Tribolium castaneum: one gene and its partners. The protein of the gene in region 1 purifies or fractionates together with the protein of each later gene. This does not show direct contact. Links are inferred from orthologs where the notes say so. Each region holds a gene or a part of one and is shown in the gene's direction. Other genes may lie near its edges.

Region 1 (3,359 bases):
CCTCTATTTTTTTGTAATTTTTCACTTTAATTTGATCTAAATTATTTGTGGAATTCAAGGAAAGTACTGTAAAAATATTATCAAAAATTTGAATAAATCGAATTAAGATGCAAACATTTTGCGTTATGTTGTCACACGATGTGACGCTGGTATTTACCGTAAAAAATTATTCCTTTTTAAGAATATTGGTCCATTTTTTGTGGCGTTATTCACAATCACTGTACGTCGTAATAATACAGTGCCGAAGTCCTGCCACTATATTTATAAATAGTGCCATAAAAACGAACAATTTTTCGATAAATCCTTTCATCGTCTCATCTTATCATCAGTTAATTGTACATATTTGAAAAATTACACTTTTGCACTTTTTCAAAAACGAATAAGAATGATTTAAAAAGTATTTGTTATGAAAGGGTGTCTTAGCTGAGATGACGCCACAGTTTGTATCTATGAATTTTCATTTTAACTGTGGTTGTTTATTACTTCAAGGTGGCAACTACCAGCAGCCTGAAGCCACTTTCGTCAAAGAAGTTACCTACCGCAGTTTGAACACCAAAGAGCCCGGAGAAATTTCCCCTCCCTCTTCGAACCTAAACACTGCATTCCGACTAATCAAGGAAGTACAACGAAAATTCAAAACCCGCGAAGCGGAAGAACGCGAAAAAGAAGATCTTGTTAAACAAGACACGCTGGTCTTGTCGCAGAACAAGGGCAATCCCAAGCTTAAAGATCTTTACATACGACCTAATATCGTCACAAAGCGTATGACCGGCGCTTTGGAAGCTCACAGTAACGGTTTCCGGTACACTTCAGTCAGAGGCGACAAAGTTGATATTTTATACAATAATATTAAGAATGCATTCTTTCAACCTTGCGACGGTGAAATGATCATACTTTTGCATTTTCACCTGAAGCATGCGATCATGTTCGGGAAAAAGAAGCACGTGGACGTGCAGTTTTACACGGAAGTAGGTGAAATCACGACTGATTTAGGCAAACACCAGCATATGCATGATAGGGATGATTTGGCTGCTGAGCAGTCTGAGAGGGAGTTGAGGCACAAGCTGAAGACGGCGTTCAAGAGCTTTTGCGAAAAGGTGGGTTCATAAGCTGATTGTTTGTGTTTTTATTTGTGTGTTTCGTATTTTTAGGTCGAAGCGATGACAAAACAAGAAATCGAGTTCGATACGCCGTTCCGGGAGCTCGGCTTTCCCGGAGCCCCCTACAGGTCCACAGTATTACTCCAGCCGACGTCGGGTTGCCTCGTCAATTTAACCGAATGGCCCCCGTTCGTAATTACGCTCGAAGACGTCGAATTAGTCCACTTCGAAAGAGTCCAATTCCATTTGAAAAACTTCGATATGATTTTCGTCTTCAAGGACTACCAACGCAAAACCGCAATGGTGAACGCCATCCCGATGAATATGCTGGACCATGTCAAAGAATGGCTCAACTCTTGCGACATCCGCTACTCCGAAGGTGTCCAGTCGTTAAACTGGGTCAAAATCATGAAAACAATCACCGATGATCCCGAGGGATTTTTCGAAAGCGGCGGATGGACGTTCCTGGACCCGGAATCGGACGAAGAAGCCCAGGCCCAAGAGGAGGAAACGGAGGACGAGGACGAAGTTTACGAACCGACCGACATGGAAAGCGTGTCGGAAGAAAGCGAGGAAGATTCCGAATACTCTGAAGGCGACACTGAGGAGAGTGACGAAAGCGCTTCCGGGGAGGACGATCTAGGATCTGATGAAGAATCCGGGAAGGACTGGTCCGACCTGGAGCGGGAAGCAGCCGAGGAGGACCGGGAACGCAATTTCGACGATACTTTCGACCGGAAAAAGTCGCATCACAAGTCGAGCAAACCCAGCAAACACTCGTCGAGTAAAAGCAACCACAAAGGCTCGCCGAGCAAACATTCAAACAACCATCATTCCTCAAGTAGCAAACATTCGAGTTCGAAACATAGCAGCAGAGATAGTGATAGGCGTAAATCTTCTTCAAGTTCGAAATCGAAATCTTCACCCTCGAAAGACAAGGACCGCCATCACAGAAGCTCGCATTCGGATTCGAAAAAGCGCAGTCGGGAGGAGAGCAGCGATAAACACAAGTCCAAGAAGTCGAAGAAGTAATTCGAGGAAGTTGTTTTTACCGTTGTATTTGTATAAGTTATTTTTATGTTAGAGATTTGTGTTTCAAGTTCTGTGTTTCGTTCAGGCTAAGTTCTTTCCACTGAATGTACAGATTAAACTTTTGATATAAACCGTGGTTTAATTTGCACGGAATTCTTAGTTTTCGTGTATTACATTTTATGAAGTTATTGCAAAACATGTAATAAATTTGAAAAGACCAAATGCTGTTGCTTGATGACAAACTGACGGCGTTTTACGGCTGTAAATTTGGCAAGAAATTGGAATTTTTGGGGAGAGGTAAGTGGGTATATTTACAACAGAGAGGACTTTTGGTCTACTTAAGTTGTATGAGTGAGTTATCCCGCGGTGTAAGTACAAAAAAAAAATTATTATCTATTTTTTGCTCAAAGTACTAAAACAAAAAGCAAATAAACAAGATGTATATTCAGGCGTGAATAAAACAGAAAATATTGAGTATTGCTACCCATAACTGCAAATATCAGTCGTCAAACAAATAAAACTCCAAAATAAATACGTTAACAATATCAGTAAAATATCGCGATGCTAATTAAGTACACAACACTGGTGTGAAAATTGCTACAACCCAAATATCTTTCCCTCCACTGCCTTCACTTCGTCCAACAAAGTCGATTGCGGATTGATTTTGACCCCTTGTCTCTTCAAATCTTGCAACCGCTGCTCAAGCAGATCTTTATTTCGTCCATTCTGCCACCAAATTGTGATACAAGCATTCAATAAAGGTACATACAACTCCAACAAATCACTATCACTAACCCCCTCATATCTATGTAGGGCTAAATCAGCCCATTTTTGGCATTGTGAACACTCGGGAATTGACATGCAGCACCCTAACAGTCTACATAAAGCGATAAGCACGACCGGCGACCGATCAGTATAAAATTTGTTTAGTAGTTTAAAATTGTTTTCAAGCAGCGGCAAAGCGGACGAAAAGTCCCGTTTTTCCAAAAACGTCCGTGCTTTCTCCACTTCAACGCCTTGAAGGAACTCGACTAAAGCCTTAGACGCTCGCAGTTTAGATTCGGTGCAAATGTGCCTCAACAGGGACTCAAAGCCCGTGCTTCTGGTGGAAATCAGCTCATTATCAAAGTTTCCTATTATCACTTTTTTGGGAAATGTAACATTGGTCATTAAGTTCGGGTGTTCCTTCTTTAGGGCGCTGTAAAGGTTCAGGAAGTGCGTGTATCG
Region 2 (4,437 bases), on another chromosome or scaffold:
CGCACTCCAGGTAGCAGGCCCCACCTTTGTTCAAGGCTGCAAAACGGTTAGATAACGAAGCCTCAGGGGCGGAGCACAGCCACTGTCACAAGGCAGTAGCGTAGATGTAATCGAAAACACTTCGGTAAAAATTATAGGGGCTTTCACGAATTATTCTCAAAATTTTAACAATTACGCCTATCACTTTCTTCAAAATAAATAAAAGTACAACAAAACCCACATAAAACCTAGACTCGCGCTCATTACAGTATTATTACAATGTAAAATGAAGCTACTAGCTCGCTTTGGACGTTTTTTTATGTATTTTGAGGAATCGAATTCTTATTACAAAAATTCTACAGTGAAACCTCGTTATCCGAATTTAAAAAAGTAAAATTCGAGTTAAGGCGAATTCGTGTACACACTTCGCTCAGACTTTTTTTTGCTTTTACGCCAGTATTACTAATAAATTAAATTACTAATAAATCCTAATAAACATTTCACTAACCACAAGCGATGTCATAAAATTGACAGAAATAACACTTCAGAACCGGTGAGAGTGTAACGTATCTGTAGCCATGGGGGTACATTTTGAGACACACTGTACAGCACCGCTTTTATTACACTGTGTTTCGATCTACATTTATCGAAGCGACACGTAAGAAATGACAAAGGCGTTTTTTTCACCGCTTAAACTTATCTGTGCGTTCAAATCCACACAGGGACAAGTCACAATCCCTTGTAAGTGCCATTTTTAAGTCAAATTACTAAGCGTACTAGGCGTAATGAATGTGAGGTTATACATACCATTTTTTCGGTGAATTGGGACGGGGTTGCACTTTGCACTGTTAAACCCACACAAAGTGAATTATTGCAACAGTTTCGATGTAATATTCAAATTAAGTTGTGTACCGCACTGCTATCACTACATTGTCTAGTAGGGGGTGCCAACGTTGAAAACTCAAAAACCACGCAATGTTCACTAGCAAAATATAAAAACAAACATAAAAAAACACCCAGGCACACATTTTCACATATAAATTAACAAATTTACAAGTTTTGGTGGCGGGATTTCAACAAGTATGTGGACGCGAGATGGCGGTATAATCGTCCGGGACGTTTCTGTTCTCTGATTGGCTGTTGGTGTATAATACAATACTCGGAAATATTAGAAGATTAATTTTTTCCGACGTGATATATGCGTACAGATAGTGTTGTTTTGAATTACTAAGTGTTAGCTTTGTATTACAAAGGTTATTATATTTTTTTTCGTCTGTCGTGGATCTAGTTACGTGCATCCGTGAGACCCGAAATTGGCGCCCTGATTGACAGTTGTCTTGACTAATCAGAATCTTTCTAGACTATGCTAGAAGACAAGTTGAAAGCAACCGACTTTGAAGCCACCAACGAAGCCATCGAAGAACAGGTAGCTCGCGAGTCCTACATCCAATATTTTCGCGACTCAGAACGCCGTTTGAAGAACCAAGGACACTCCTGTGGTAGCAGTTCAACGATAACATCAGCAACCATGTCCAGCTCGCGCTCGTCGAGGAAAGGCTCGGTCTCCCCGAAGGGATCGCAGTCCCCCAAAGGGTCCAACTCGCCAAAGACAACACCACTAGGTACTCAAGTGTGAGTCGATGGCGTTTTTTAACATTTCCTTGCAGCGAGCCCCCGAGGCGCTGGGGCGCCGTCCCCATCGACTAGCCGCTATGAGGCCGACGTCAGCGGGGGCGATGTGGCGGGAGCCTGCGGTGGACCACCGGAGGAATTTCCGAAATTTTCGCCGCGCCGTTCTGAGCCCCCGGCCGAGGATGTTAATAACCCGGACTATGATGAAAATTTCAACGAGGACTTTAAATTTGATTTTGATTCCGATTCGGATCAGTCGGCTGGGGCCGGGCCATCAAACCGCGGTGATATAGGTTTGTCTGATTTTTGCTTCAAACAAAATGGACGTCGATTAAGTGCATTTTTCGGACAAAAATTGATATTTTAGCGATTTTTTCAGCTAGCCCTCCGGCCAAATGCGCTGCTTCATCGCAGGATAATCGAGTTATTACGGTAGGGTTAGCTTAGAAAAATTCTAAGCCCACATGTAATTGGGCAAAAATCGTGGTTCCTGAAGAGATTAGAGCTTGTAAAAGCTGTAGGTACAGCTAAATGGACCACCTATATTTTTTGCATTTTTGGATGCAGCTTTTAAAACTAATGACTTTGACTTTTATTTTTTTGAACTTTTGAACTTTTATTATTTTATTATACTTGTTATTATATTTTTTCACTTAGTAACATTATCATTTACAATTTTTCTTCATGTGTCACTCGCTATAACATACTACAATTTAATTACGTTATTGTAATTTAAAGTATCTGACAATTTAAGATATATTCTTTGGGGAAGCTTTTAAAAAAACATGGAATATTATTTTGTACTTTTTGCATATTGTGAGTGATTAAATTTAAAAAATATACAGAGCACTTAAAAACTGGCGCACCACGTTCTTGAGAAGCAAATGTAGATTACAGGAAAAATCTTAAAAAATTCCTACATTTATATTATAAAAAATATGGGCATACAAATTTACTTTGTTGACTCTTTTTTAATGTTTTTATGTTTCACACTTCCGATACCGGCTGTTAGACAATGATGCCACATATTTGACAGTCACAATTTAAGACAATTTAAAGAAAACACACATTAAAAATCTCCTTTTTATTTATTTTTCCAGAGCCACACGTAATTGAAAAAAATATTTACCGTTACATTCTGTTGTACGAAAAAAAACAAGCAATCTTAAGTATTATACATTATACAACCAAACAGCATATTAAATATCAATAAAAAATGCATTATTCTTTTTACTATTATTTACTTCCCTTTTTTCATTCTCATTTTTTTTGTTTCATTTACATTTTATTTATCTCATTTACTCTTTTTTCCTATTTAAGCATGGTTATGAATGTTTTATTCTCGTATTTTTTTTGCCCGGCGAATCGATTTAGATTTATTAAAATAAAATTTCGCTAAAATGTCAACTTTTGTCATCAAGCCGAAAACATCTGGCGGAAATGCACGGAAATATTTAATTTTAAAATGTGTGTGACTTTTACAGATTACGACAATTATGACCAGGAAATCATGGCCCAAGTGCTGGCCGAGTCGCGCAAAACTTACTTAGCTGAACTTAAGCAGCGATCCAAGAAGCGTCATGGATCTCCGGGACCATCCACTTCATCCTAGTTTAAATACTAAATTAATTGAGTTACATGTTCGTGCTTTCGTTTCATTTTTAGTTAATTAAGGTTCATTGTTTGCTTTTCAAGGTATGCAATTGCTTTGTTTTGTTATATAAAATGCATATCTTGTAAAATTGTATTGGCATGTTATAATCGTTTTTTAGTTAAAACGACCTTCCTCCACCCAGAAGATTAGTTTCGTTTTTTTGGAGAAAGAGCTTTCGTTTCTAGTACCGTAGTTTCGATTTTGCATGGATTGTGGGGGGGTCGTTTGTAAAAAAAAATTCAAAATGTTATATTTTGAGACACTGTTTCACGGATGTAAGTTTCGCCCTCTAAATTTCAGTGTCAAAAAGTATTTTATTTATGTTTTCAGATATCTATAAGTATATGTACTTATGAGTTCCAATGTATTTCAGTTTCGTTCAAATAAAATTGTTGTGATATTTGGCGTTTCATAATTGGACTAATCATGGTCACACCCAAAATTAAGACAACCAAGGTTGTTGCATACCAAATTATAGGTATTTCGTCACGTCGTTAAATATTTTGCCCTCAAAACAGAATAATTAACGTGGATGCTCCACTCAGGTAATTTGTATGCATATTAGGAAGAAAATATTTAGCAACATCGTAATGTACTTAACATGCATATCCCATAATGGTGTGCTTGGATTACTTAATTACAATGCCAAAAGAGAAATTCGCTAAGAAAAATATTATTTGAATTAATAACAGGGGCGGGCCTAGGACAGCTTGACTAACATGTGCGTGTTGCCAATTTGCGCACGCGTGTGCCATGGCCACCTATTGCCAATTTAAATTTTCGTCACAAACGACCGGCTATGTTCAATAATTTGGGAAAATATGGTGACTGTTCGGCGGGATTTGCCCCATTCTCTGAATTTCGTTGGTTATTTGTGCCAACTTGTGTTTTGTTTACATGACGTGGGGTTGCTCTCTGTCTTGTAGCTGGTGGAGGGGCGAATGTGCGGAGTCCGGGCCTGGCGGAGGCGCTGTTGCCAGTTGGTGTTGTTCAGGCAGTGATTTTGAGAAAAATAAGGAGAATATCGGTTGGTGGAGTCCAGTGCTAGTCCGAAATGCACTTATTTCGGTAAATGTGTGATATGAAGGCGTTTGGCGAGCTCGGGGTGAAGACCTTTGATACTAGAGTTCGGTTTGTTGTTGGTAGCAGTAGTCGGTAAGACGTTGTAATTT
Region 3 (5,052 bases), about 1.3 Mb from region 1:
AACAAATGAAAAATGAGGGAAGACAGCTGCTTATTAATATGAAAAGTCTTGAAACGTATCCTCCTTACGACAATACCCCACTGCTGGGGACTGATCCTGGGGATTATATTCATGCTGAGGAATTTTTGAAGAAAGAGGGCAAAAATGGAAAAATTGGGACGTTGTCCAAGTCAGAGTGGGAGGCTTCTTGTAAGTTGATATTTATTTAAATCACTTGTGAGGTGACTGTTTTTTGCAGCCTTGTATATGCTGTTTGTCTTTGAAAAGGTGAAGAATACGTGGAATACGGATGGCACACCTGTTTATGATATATAAGTAGTAAACCAAATGTACAGTTTTAGTACAAGAAGACTATTATTTATTGAAATAATAAAACTGGTGACTTTTATATATTGTTTCATTTTTTAATGTATAAGAAATAATATCGGTGTAATACTAATAGTCAAATCATTTGGAGACCAAGGCAATTTTTTCAAATTTTTTTGTTACTGCACATTTTAAACCACTGCTATAGTACTGCTTTATGGATTATTCCTTTTTTTTATTATTCTTAGGTGTGCCGTTTTAAGGAATTTGCGAGTTCGAAAAAAATAATGAACCTGAACACGAAGCAAAAAAAATATTAAAAAAATAGATTCCACCTATAATTTGCTTGTACAGTGGGCCGCAAAAATATGGAATAATCTTATTAAACAGAATTTAAAATTTTTGTCTTGGTTTTCGAATAACGTCGCTATCGACACATTTTTTTTATGAAAACCTCTAATTTTCTTTGATCGTTTCAATAAATTACATGTTACATCTTATCTTACGTTTAAATACTACCAAAAAACAACACAATAAATTTGTTATTTCACCAAATGATCATGGAAATAGATTTCAAACAAAATCTTAATAACTTTTTTTGTTAAGAGTATTTTTATCAGTTCTTTCGTTTTTCTTTTAAATATATTAAGTAGACAACTAAATTTAGAAGACTTGCCGCTCACTGTATACATTGTACAAATATTTTATCTATTATATTTGAAGCTTATTCCTCTTTTCTGAAATATATTTGAAAAGAGTTCCGGTATTCTCAATATTCAAGCGTTTATCGTGGGCGATGTCAATCTCATATTTTTCAGGATTCGTTTCTATTGAAATCAATACGTTTTCAGTAAATAGTTATAAAAAATTGCTACATTTATGATTTTACTTGTCTAAAAGTAGAACTGAATAGCATTTCTAAATAATTTTAAATGCCATTTAAAGCATACAAAAAAATAGCAGCTGAAAATAAATTCTAGAAGTTCGGTTTTCAAGACGTCAGCCGAGTCTTATTTGAAAATAATGCCACAAATCAAATCTCTGTTTAATTTTTTACCAAATAGAAAAAACCCGAAGTCGATTGACATTGCAGTTTTGCTTTCAGGCGCTTTAAAACGTTTACACTTTAAGTAAATATTTTAAAAATTGTTGGTCTTAAAGTGGAACGCGGAACATTTTTCTCTTTGATGTAAGGAGTAAGCTATTTCTGGTGCTATTTCTAAAAGAGGTAACAAAAGGAAACAATTCGAATGAGTTTTCCCAGAAAGTCAGGTAAACCTGACAATAATAGAAGAAATTTTTGAAACAACAATAGGTAGCTTTTCTCAGCTCGAACTAAATTTACACGTGTTATGTGGGAGGAGGTAAAAAAAGTGTATTCGATGATCTTGTTCGAAATATTACAATGCAACAAGTGCACAATACTTTACGTAACCGTCCCATTAAACATTAATTCCAAAAAACGGTCCGCAAAAGCTGTGCATGAACCCAAAAGTGCGCTCATCCTCTGACTCATCATCGATTAAAGCCATGAACTTTCTCCCGAATCTCTGCAATAAATTTCAAGCAGCTGACTGTGACATTCGTCTACTTTTCAAGTTCAAAGTTGAACGCACGAAATTCAAATCCTGGCGCGCTACAGGTTATTGCCTCTGAGTGCGGCGCGTGCGCACTACGCAAAATCGCGTACTTTGTCATAAAAGCGTTCGCTGCGTTTCCCCAACGAGGATTCTAAGTGTTTGCCTCGTTCAATCTGTGAAGCGATGGAAGTCGAAAACGGAGCAAATGGGGAAGATTCCAGTCCTGTAAGTACAAAATCTCGCCTAGAATTTAATTCCGCGAATTTCGGCTCGTCCACATTTTCCCGCTTGTGTGAAATAAGGGCGCTTTCCTCGTGCTCTAACAGCGTTCGAGCGAAATTTTTCTAAGTCCCAAAATGGCGTCAGAGACTAAGTCCCACGTTTGTGGCATCAGGTCTAGAATTTTCTCGCGATAAACCGAGATTACGCATTTAAACGGCTTCTTTTCGCTGCTTTCGGTTCAATTGGGGCGAAATCGAGGGGGGCTCCATTTATAATTTGCACGTTTTTTGGTGCAGAGCCACAAGATGAAGGAGTATAACAGCGATACGGCCCAAGTGAACGGCATAAACGGCTACTCGGACAAGAAGAGCCACAAATCGGAGCATAAAGACAAGCACAGAGACAAGGACCGGGAGCGAGACAAGGAGAAAAGTAAAAGCAAAGAGCACAAGAGCTCGAAGGATAAAGACCGGCATAGCTCCAGTTCGAAGGACAAAGACCGAGATAAGGAACGCCACAGTTCACACAAGTCCTCAAGTCGGGACAAGGAGCGCAGCGACAAGGACAAACACCGCGACAAGGACAAGCACCGGGACGAGAAAAAGTCCTCGAAGGACAAGGAAAAGGAGCACAAAAGCTCGCACGATAAGGACCACAAGTCGAGCTCGAAAGACAAGGAGCGCAAGGATAAAGACAAGCACAGCTCCTCGAAGGATAAGGACAAGGACCGCCACAGCAGCTCCAAAGACAAGCACAGAGACAAGGACAAGCATCATTCCAGCTCCAAAGATAAAGACCGGAAGGACAAGAACAAGGAGCGGAAGAGCGAGAAAGAATCGGAGAAATCCTACGGTAATTTAACTTTTACCTCATTTGCTAAAAAATTATTTCCAGAGGGCGTAAAGCATAAAACACATCTGCAAAAATGGCCAAGGGTTTGTATCCAAATTTTCCTAACTAAAATTTTAACAAAAGTAGTGGCTATTGTCAGTTTTTGTAGGTGTTATTTTTTGCTCTAGGCCTAAACCTTGCACTCTTTAACTAAAAATGTTAAGTTTGAGCACAGTTTCATCGTATTGTTATTGTTTTATTGTGTCCATAGTTTCGAGTCAGTTTGATTTGACAAAATTTTTGTAAATACAAATTTTTAGAACGCTCGAATCATTATTTTCAACATGAGGTAAATAAAAACCTACTCGAGTTTTTAATCACTGTAATGGCTTGCAGGTATGTAGATAAGGCATGTTTGAAAAATGTAACCATCTTCGTAATTGTGGACGAAAATCAATGTTTTTTGACGCAAGCTGGTACGTAATTTTAATTGTCTTTAAGTCACTCACCGACAGGACTAATACGGTTTTTGAACGCTTATTTATGCATTATTTAAACAAAAACAATATTCGAAGCTGCTCATGCATTTTTTTGCTTTATATTATGCGAAATAACGAAGACATTGTATTGAATTTTAAAATTTTTGTAACATCCTTTAAGAAACGTGTTTTATCCAAGACATTGAAAAACCAAGCTCACGTCTCACTTTGAAATGCAAACTACGAATGTTCGAAAACAATTCTTATTTTTGCAATAACTAGATTTAGACCATATGTAGGTTGTTTGTTCATTTTGTTGAGGAATAAATACACGAAGACCCGAAACAACTTTCAGTAATTATTGAAATAATTGATTTAATTAATTTATTATGTCGTTTGTTATTCTAAAATGAGCGGTTTTAAGCACCTTGACATTTTTTATCAGTGTTTTAAAATATCAAATGATATATTTGTGATTGTCCCGCATCTCGTTGATGTTAATTAATCATATCTTGTTCATGTGTGATGGAGTCCTTAGTATATAAAAAAAAATCACTTAATCCATCATTAGATCATAATTGGCAACAGTTTATTATTTAGTCAAAATGTTTATTTAATTAACAAATTGTGAATTAAAGGTTTCTTTGCATTTGCTGTAGATATAAATATTATTCTCTGTAATTGGGTTAGCAATTACTCTTTGATATGCAACAATTTGTTAGATAGTTGTTAATTACCAGCAGATTAACTTTCGTATCTTGTTACGATTTGGAAGAAATAAATTAAAAGAATCGGTTCATTACATAATAAAAATTAAACAATTCGGAGTCCAATTTTCTAAAACTTGGCCAAAATCCAATTGGGACAAGTGACAATAATTTTAACTAACCGTAAAATCCAATTTTACACATTTTACGCGAATGGAATGTTGATTAAACAATTTTTTACTGTCAGACGATGAGAGAGAAAAGAAGAGTAAGAACCATTCAAAACATGAAAACGACGTGGGAAGAGAAGATTCCGCAAGAGAGGATTCGGTCGATGAAGATGATAACAAACTCATCATCAAAGAAGAGCCCGAGTCTCAAGATGAAGTCGACGACAAAAATGCTTCAGCTGCGAGCAGCTGTGATTACAATTTGTCTCAGTTTAAATCGGACGAGTCAAGATTTGAAGATAGCACTGCTGATGTGAAGCAGGAAGAAGACAGCGATGAAGATTTGCCTCTGGTAGGTGTTTCATTCAAGTTTATCGTCTTTACGTAAATAAAAATCATACGATTGCTAAGGACAATAATTTGTAATCTTTGTAGTCATTAATGTTCAATTGTATTTTCAGCGAAAACCATTCGCTCACAGACACAGATTGGTAGGTTTTTTGAAGTATTAATGTTTGTTTAGTGGTGTTAACAGTTTTAGTTTGATTTTTGACTAATATTTTGCATGGTGTTGGTATTTTTTTACTGATTTGATGCATTTTTAGTCCGCCAGAATGGAACATACGTCAGTTAAAAGAAAAATTGAGTCGGACGATGAAGATGACATGCCGTTAAATGCGCGAAAGAAGCCAAAAAAAGAGAAGAAGGAGAAATCTGAAAAGAAGAAAAAGAAGAGATCTGTAGAGGATGATGAAGA
Region 4 (4,898 bases), on another chromosome or scaffold:
CAACACGAAACTAAATATAATTTACAAGTGGCTGAACGTTACACACATTTAATTTAAAAAAATGCTTGGAAGGAATTTGGGTGATTACCATTTGTGACAACAACAAATACCTCAACTGACGTCCAAATATTTCTGATAAAAGTTTTAAAAGATTTTCCTGTGCTACGTAACTATTTTAATCCATAACTGTACACTGTACTTTCACTATCATACTGATTGTTAATACTAACCTGAAGACCTAGAACTTGCGTTCCACTTCCGCTATACTTATTACACGATATTTCAAAGAAGTTTTAAAAACGTTTCAAGAATTTTCAATTAAGAACTCTAGTGAGCCCTTTTATGTGACGCTACAATTAATTAAAAACTCATTAGGACGGAAGAATGTGAATAGACAACCAGATCAATGGCCCAGATACAAAATTGTACGCTCGGATGCATCAAACATAACATTAAATTACGACGGTTTGAACCGGATTTCTATTGTAATTTTAGGAAAAACAATAATTACAATTGAAACGCTATTGTTATTGATAGTTAGTACTGCGAAATTGCTTTGTGATAACATTATTAATTGGAGCAGATAAGGAAAATCACATTTTATAAGAGCGCCTTACCTCGAACTTTGTTTAAAAAATTAGATGTGGAGCGTCATCGTCTCACTGACATTGAATTAATTTTTGTAATTTCCTGCCGTCTTTCATACCCACTCAGCTTCAGAAAAACATCGTCGCACTAACACTGCAATTACAGTACAAGCGACAACAACCTTCCAATTAACTAAACACACCGTGGAAGAAAATGCAATGTATTATAACCACTTGTTTGTTTACAACACTCTCCCGCACAAGAGAATGAAGCCGAACAATAAATAATCTGCTACAACCTTGACTCGCAATTAACAATCACAATAAACCAATTACTACATTTTGGTGTAATTTAGCCTTTGTTTAAATAATGATAACAAAAGAGCCAGAATTTATTTATGAGTCAACAGTCTTCAAAAACCGCAACTAGCACGTCCCACTTGTGCAAGCAGATTTCTAAAAGTAGATTGGGTTTTCACTTTTCAACTAACAATAGGCGGTTAAAAGTTTATTGTCCGGTTCAAATGGAATTAAATGTCACTTAATAATTCGGGTGACGACGTCGCGGCGCCTAGGAAAGCCTTCGACTAGACCGGCCGTCTGCGCAAACTAAAAATAGGGAAATGATCCGATTTTCACTATTTTTATCTAGTTTTCACGGTTTTGGGTTACATAATGTCATCAAAAGAAAATTATTTATGGTTGACTATGTTTAGAGAGCGGAGCGCAAATCGGTCATTTTTATTTTCAGAAAAAAATTATAGTGTTTATACAGAGATTTTTATTGGAAACACATCCACACTTTTCGAAAAGTTGCAACAAACGTGCTGAACATTTTCAAAAAAAACTTTAATAAGCAGCTAAAAAGCTATCCTAATGAGCTCAAAAAAATAAATAAAAATAATAAAAATAATAATAATAATAATAATAATAATAATAATAATAATAATAATAATAATAATAATTTTGGAGAAAGAAGAATTGCTGATGTTAAAAAACGCTCTTAGCAGGTTTGAAAAGAAGTAATACATTAATGTAGAAGATTGTAGAAGATTTATAATGCCGGGCGGAGTCTTAAACTGCCTATTTTGAAAATGCCAAGTTGAAAAAAATCTTGGAAAAAGTCTCATTTAATAAGTTAAGACACACATGAATGCAAAAGTGCAAAAGTTATTACATAATATGTTGATTAATGAAGTTGATATGAAATTTTGATAACGGTACATTGTATTGAAAATAAAAAAAACATTTTATAAGTGAATATTTTTGATTAATTAATACTACTGTATGGATAGAAAAAAATACAGGGTGAGCGCGAGGGTGAGTTATTTTTGATTTTTTCTTGGATGCAACCCCGTTTGCGTGTGTGATAAGTTGTGCACGCCGTTCTGAGGTTTAACTGTAGTTAAAAAATCCCACTTGTAATTTTCAAACTTAGCGGTTAAAGCTGTCATTTAATGCCGTCACTTTCCGCTAGATGAGCCCAACATCAACTCTTTTTTCGCGTAGATGAAGTAGCGTAAGCGTGGCTAATCAAGGTACAAAGAGGTAAAATTCTCAAATATTTCTTTCCCCGATCACAATTTAGCCCTAATCTCGTCATTTGCCAACCCTCCACATCCCTTCTAAGCCCAAAAATGGGAAATTAACGTCGTAGTTGTGTCACAAATGTCATTAAACGTAATCTAAACATAGGGTTGGACAGCCACAACCGTCTCAAAATTCCAATTTTCTAAATAAATCGGAAATGTTTTAGGAAAATGAGCAGCTCAGAGGAGGTTTCGTGGATTTCATGGTTTTGCGGACTTAGAGGAAATGAATTCTTTTGCGAAGTAAATGAATTTGCCTGTTTTAAAGACGAGATTTTTGAGTGTATTTGCAGGTGGATGAGGATTATATACAGGACAAATTTAACTTGACGGGCTTGAATGAGCAAGTTCCGCACTACAGGCAAGCTCTTGATATGATACTAGACTTAGAACCGGGTATTTTGAACCCATCCCTGGTTTCACATTTTTTTAACTCGGCTTTTTAGATGATGAACTTGACGATAATCCGAACCAATCCGACCTGATTGAGCAAGCGGCCGAGATGCTTTATGGGTTAATACACGCTAGGTACATTTTAACAAATCGGGGGATCGCCCAAATGATTGAAAAATACCAGTCTGGGGATTTTGGGTATTGTCCACGAGTTTACTGCGAATCGCAGGCAATGCTGCCTTTGGGTAACCCCAACACTTTTGGTATTTTTTTGGGTAATGGTTTGTGCTTTAGGGCTGTCTGATGTACCTGGGGAGGCAATGGTCAAGTCATATTGCCCCAAATGTATGGATGTGTACACACCAAAGTCTTCAAGGCACCACCATACAGATGGGGCCTATTTTGGGACAGGTTTCCCTCACATGCTCTTCATGGTGCACCCAGAATACAGGCCAAAGCGTCCAACAAATCAATTTGTTCCTAGGTATAGCCGAACTGGCGTGAGTCTAATTGAAAGTCTGGTCAAGAGTGCTTGGCGAATTTAATATTGTCAGTTATCAAGTGACAACTGAGAAGTCAAAACCTACTTCATTTCGGAATTTTTGGGATGTTACGTATAATAATCCTCAATAACTTTACACGAAACGAAAAATTAGTCATTTTTTTATTTCGTTGTTTTTAAAGCATTGTCTTGACCCCGCTTTTATTTAGACTCACTTGATTTTTTTAGAATTGTTCTTCAACAAATGATTTCAGGTTATTTGGTTTTAAAATTCATCCCCTTGCTTACCAGTTGCAACAGCAAGCAGCCTCGACTTTTAAGGCGCCTCTGAGAAGTTTGAACTTTAATAATGGTAAACGTTAATTTAAAAGGTGTATACATTTGATTTAATTTATTTCTACCCCAAATTTGTGTATTCTTGTATGTATGAAATTAAATCTTGATTATTTTCTTTCATACTTTTGTATGGCGTTAACTTTGCATAAGGTTAAAAATGTGCAAAAATTCCATCATTTTTATAAATAGGGTTCAATGTATAATAAATTTCCCAGTTTTGTTTTTATAAATGTAAGGATAGTTTAATTTAGAAGCGTCACCGGTTTCGTGTAAAATTAACTAGCATTCAAGTTTGTAAATAACTGATTAAAAAATTCAGATGAGTTGGTGTGTCATGCCTGAGCTTAATTAGTAAATAGAGTGGTCAAAAGTCTGAATTTTTCAATCACACAGCGTAATCTAAGATGTATAAATAACACATTTTAAATAAAACATAGGAAGCAAACCTAGGTTCTGTATTTTTACTTAAGGTAATCACAACCAAGACTAAGTTATGAATTCGCATGTTATCAAATAAAATTTTCTGTTTTTCGTAAGAATCTTTATTTGACCCATTACATAAATAAAACACAGATCAAAATAAACTTATATTTACGCCTTAAACAAAAATTTATCTACAAACACACGCGCGCCTACTGGAACGAGTAGCCCCCGTTCTGTTGCCCCCTCAGCTGGGAGGGGTCCTCCATGGGGGGCATCTGCGGCTGGAACTGCTCCGCTGACAACCTAGTGAACAAAATCCCGACTCCTTCAATTAAAGCTAACAAAACGCCCCCAATGAAGGCGCTCCCGGCCATGGCCGGGAGCCCGTTTCTCGCCGCGAGGATGCCCCCAGTCGCGGCCCCACTTATAATGGAGTTCCAGGGGTCCTCCTTTTTCCTAATGTGGATTAGGGCGCAGTCAATTGTGGAGAACATGCCGCCCCAAACGGCAAAGTTGCCGGCGATTATAGGGGACCGTTGCTTGATAGCAGCCAAACTGCCAACCTAAAACGCAAAATCACCACGGGCTTGTGAAAGGGGGCACATACAAATCGTCTGTTGAAACCCGAAGGGGCGTTGCGAAAGCCTTTAATGCTCTGGAAAACGCCGCCGCCGATGAGCCCCATAGTGAAGGCGCCCCCACAATCGTCCACGATCCTCCAGGGGCATGGCTCACGCGTGTATTCCTCCATCAAAAGTGACCTAACCATAAAATTACAGAAAAAAAAATGATTTGGGGGTTGATTTTTCGTAGTCACGTACCTCGCACGTGTGGAATTATAATTTCAGGCGATTTTTGGTCAATTGAGTCACTGTTTGCATTAAATCTGTGGTTTTTTACAAACCGTCCGCATTCACTTTGACTGGAGGTCGAAAGATCGAATCATGTCATAACACCGTTTTGAAATTTTCCATTTAATATTTACCCCTTGGTTGGGTCTTTAAACTGTGTGAATGCCACGATTTGGTCAATTTCGGGCCAAATTTTGAAAATTTCGTTTTTTTACTT

Evidence for each region.
Region 2: the proteins of dre4 (region 1) and Duba purify together in Homo sapiens (affinity purification with mass spectrometry; 3 studies listed by BioGRID, with this or other methods). This does not show direct contact. The link is inferred for Tribolium castaneum from reciprocal best matches to the Homo sapiens genes SUPT16H and OTUD5.
Region 3: the proteins of dre4 (region 1) and Top1 fractionate together in Homo sapiens (co-fractionation; 3 studies listed by BioGRID and IntAct, with this or other methods). This does not show direct contact. The link is inferred for Tribolium castaneum from reciprocal best matches to the Homo sapiens genes SUPT16H and TOP1.
Region 4: the proteins of dre4 (region 1) and CkIIbeta fractionate together in Homo sapiens (co-fractionation; 4 studies listed by BioGRID and IntAct, with this or other methods). This does not show direct contact. The link is inferred for Tribolium castaneum from reciprocal best matches to the Homo sapiens genes SUPT16H and CSNK2B.

What each region holds. Positions count from the first base shown.
Region 1 is NC_087398.1:7,050,493-7,053,851, reverse strand, and holds the end of dre4 (FACT complex subunit spt16), read left to right. Parts: intron 1-489; coding exon 490-1,097; intron 1,098-1,151; coding exon 1,152-2,132; 3' UTR 2,133-2,263; downstream 2,264-3,359. Other genes in the region: Snx21 (sorting nexin-21), read right to left, coding at 2,730-3,359. UniProt on the Homo sapiens protein: Component of the FACT complex, a general chromatin factor that acts to reorganize nucleosomes. The FACT complex is involved in multiple processes that require DNA as a template such as mRNA elongation, DNA replication and DNA repair.
Region 2 is NC_087403.1:2,189,102-2,193,538, forward strand, and holds the end of Duba (OTU domain-containing protein 5-A), read left to right. Parts: intron 1-1,339; coding exon 1,340-1,601; intron 1,602-1,646; coding exon 1,647-1,904; intron 1,905-3,095; coding exon 3,096-3,223; 3' UTR 3,224-3,665; downstream 3,666-4,437. UniProt on the Homo sapiens protein: Deubiquitinating enzyme that functions as a negative regulator of the innate immune system. Has peptidase activity towards 'Lys-48'- and 'Lys-63'-linked polyubiquitin chains. Can also cleave 'Lys-11'-linked ubiquitin chains (in vitro).
Region 3 is NC_087398.1:8,304,280-8,309,331, forward strand, and holds the start of Top1 (DNA topoisomerase I, mitochondrial), read left to right. Parts: upstream 1-1,963; 5' UTR 1,964-2,069; coding exon 2,070-2,111; intron 2,112-2,404; coding exon 2,405-2,960; intron 2,961-3,135; exon of another isoform or gene 3,136-3,283; coding exon of another isoform or gene 3,284-3,288; intron 3,289-3,335; coding exon of another isoform or gene 3,336-3,415; intron 3,416-4,372; coding exon 4,373-4,647; intron 4,648-4,756; coding exon 4,757-4,786; intron 4,787-4,900; coding exon 4,901-5,052. Other genes in the region: Rnmt (mRNA cap guanine-N7 methyltransferase), read left to right, coding at 1-189, 239-315. UniProt on the Homo sapiens protein: Releases the supercoiling and torsional tension of DNA introduced during the DNA replication and transcription by transiently cleaving and rejoining one strand of the DNA duplex.
Region 4 is NC_087397.1:979,162-984,059, forward strand, and holds CkIIbeta (casein kinase II subunit beta), read left to right. Parts: upstream 1-1,991; 5' UTR 1,992-2,135; intron 2,136-2,343; 5' UTR 2,344-2,347; coding exon 2,348-2,419; intron 2,420-2,469; coding exon 2,470-2,572; intron 2,573-2,622; coding exon 2,623-2,814; intron 2,815-2,863; coding exon 2,864-3,053; intron 3,054-3,325; coding exon 3,326-3,434; 3' UTR 3,435-3,938; downstream 3,939-4,898. Other genes in the region: mitochondrial import inner membrane translocase subunit Tim17-B, read right to left, coding at 4,040-4,393, 4,438-4,581. UniProt on the Homo sapiens protein: Regulatory subunit of casein kinase II/CK2.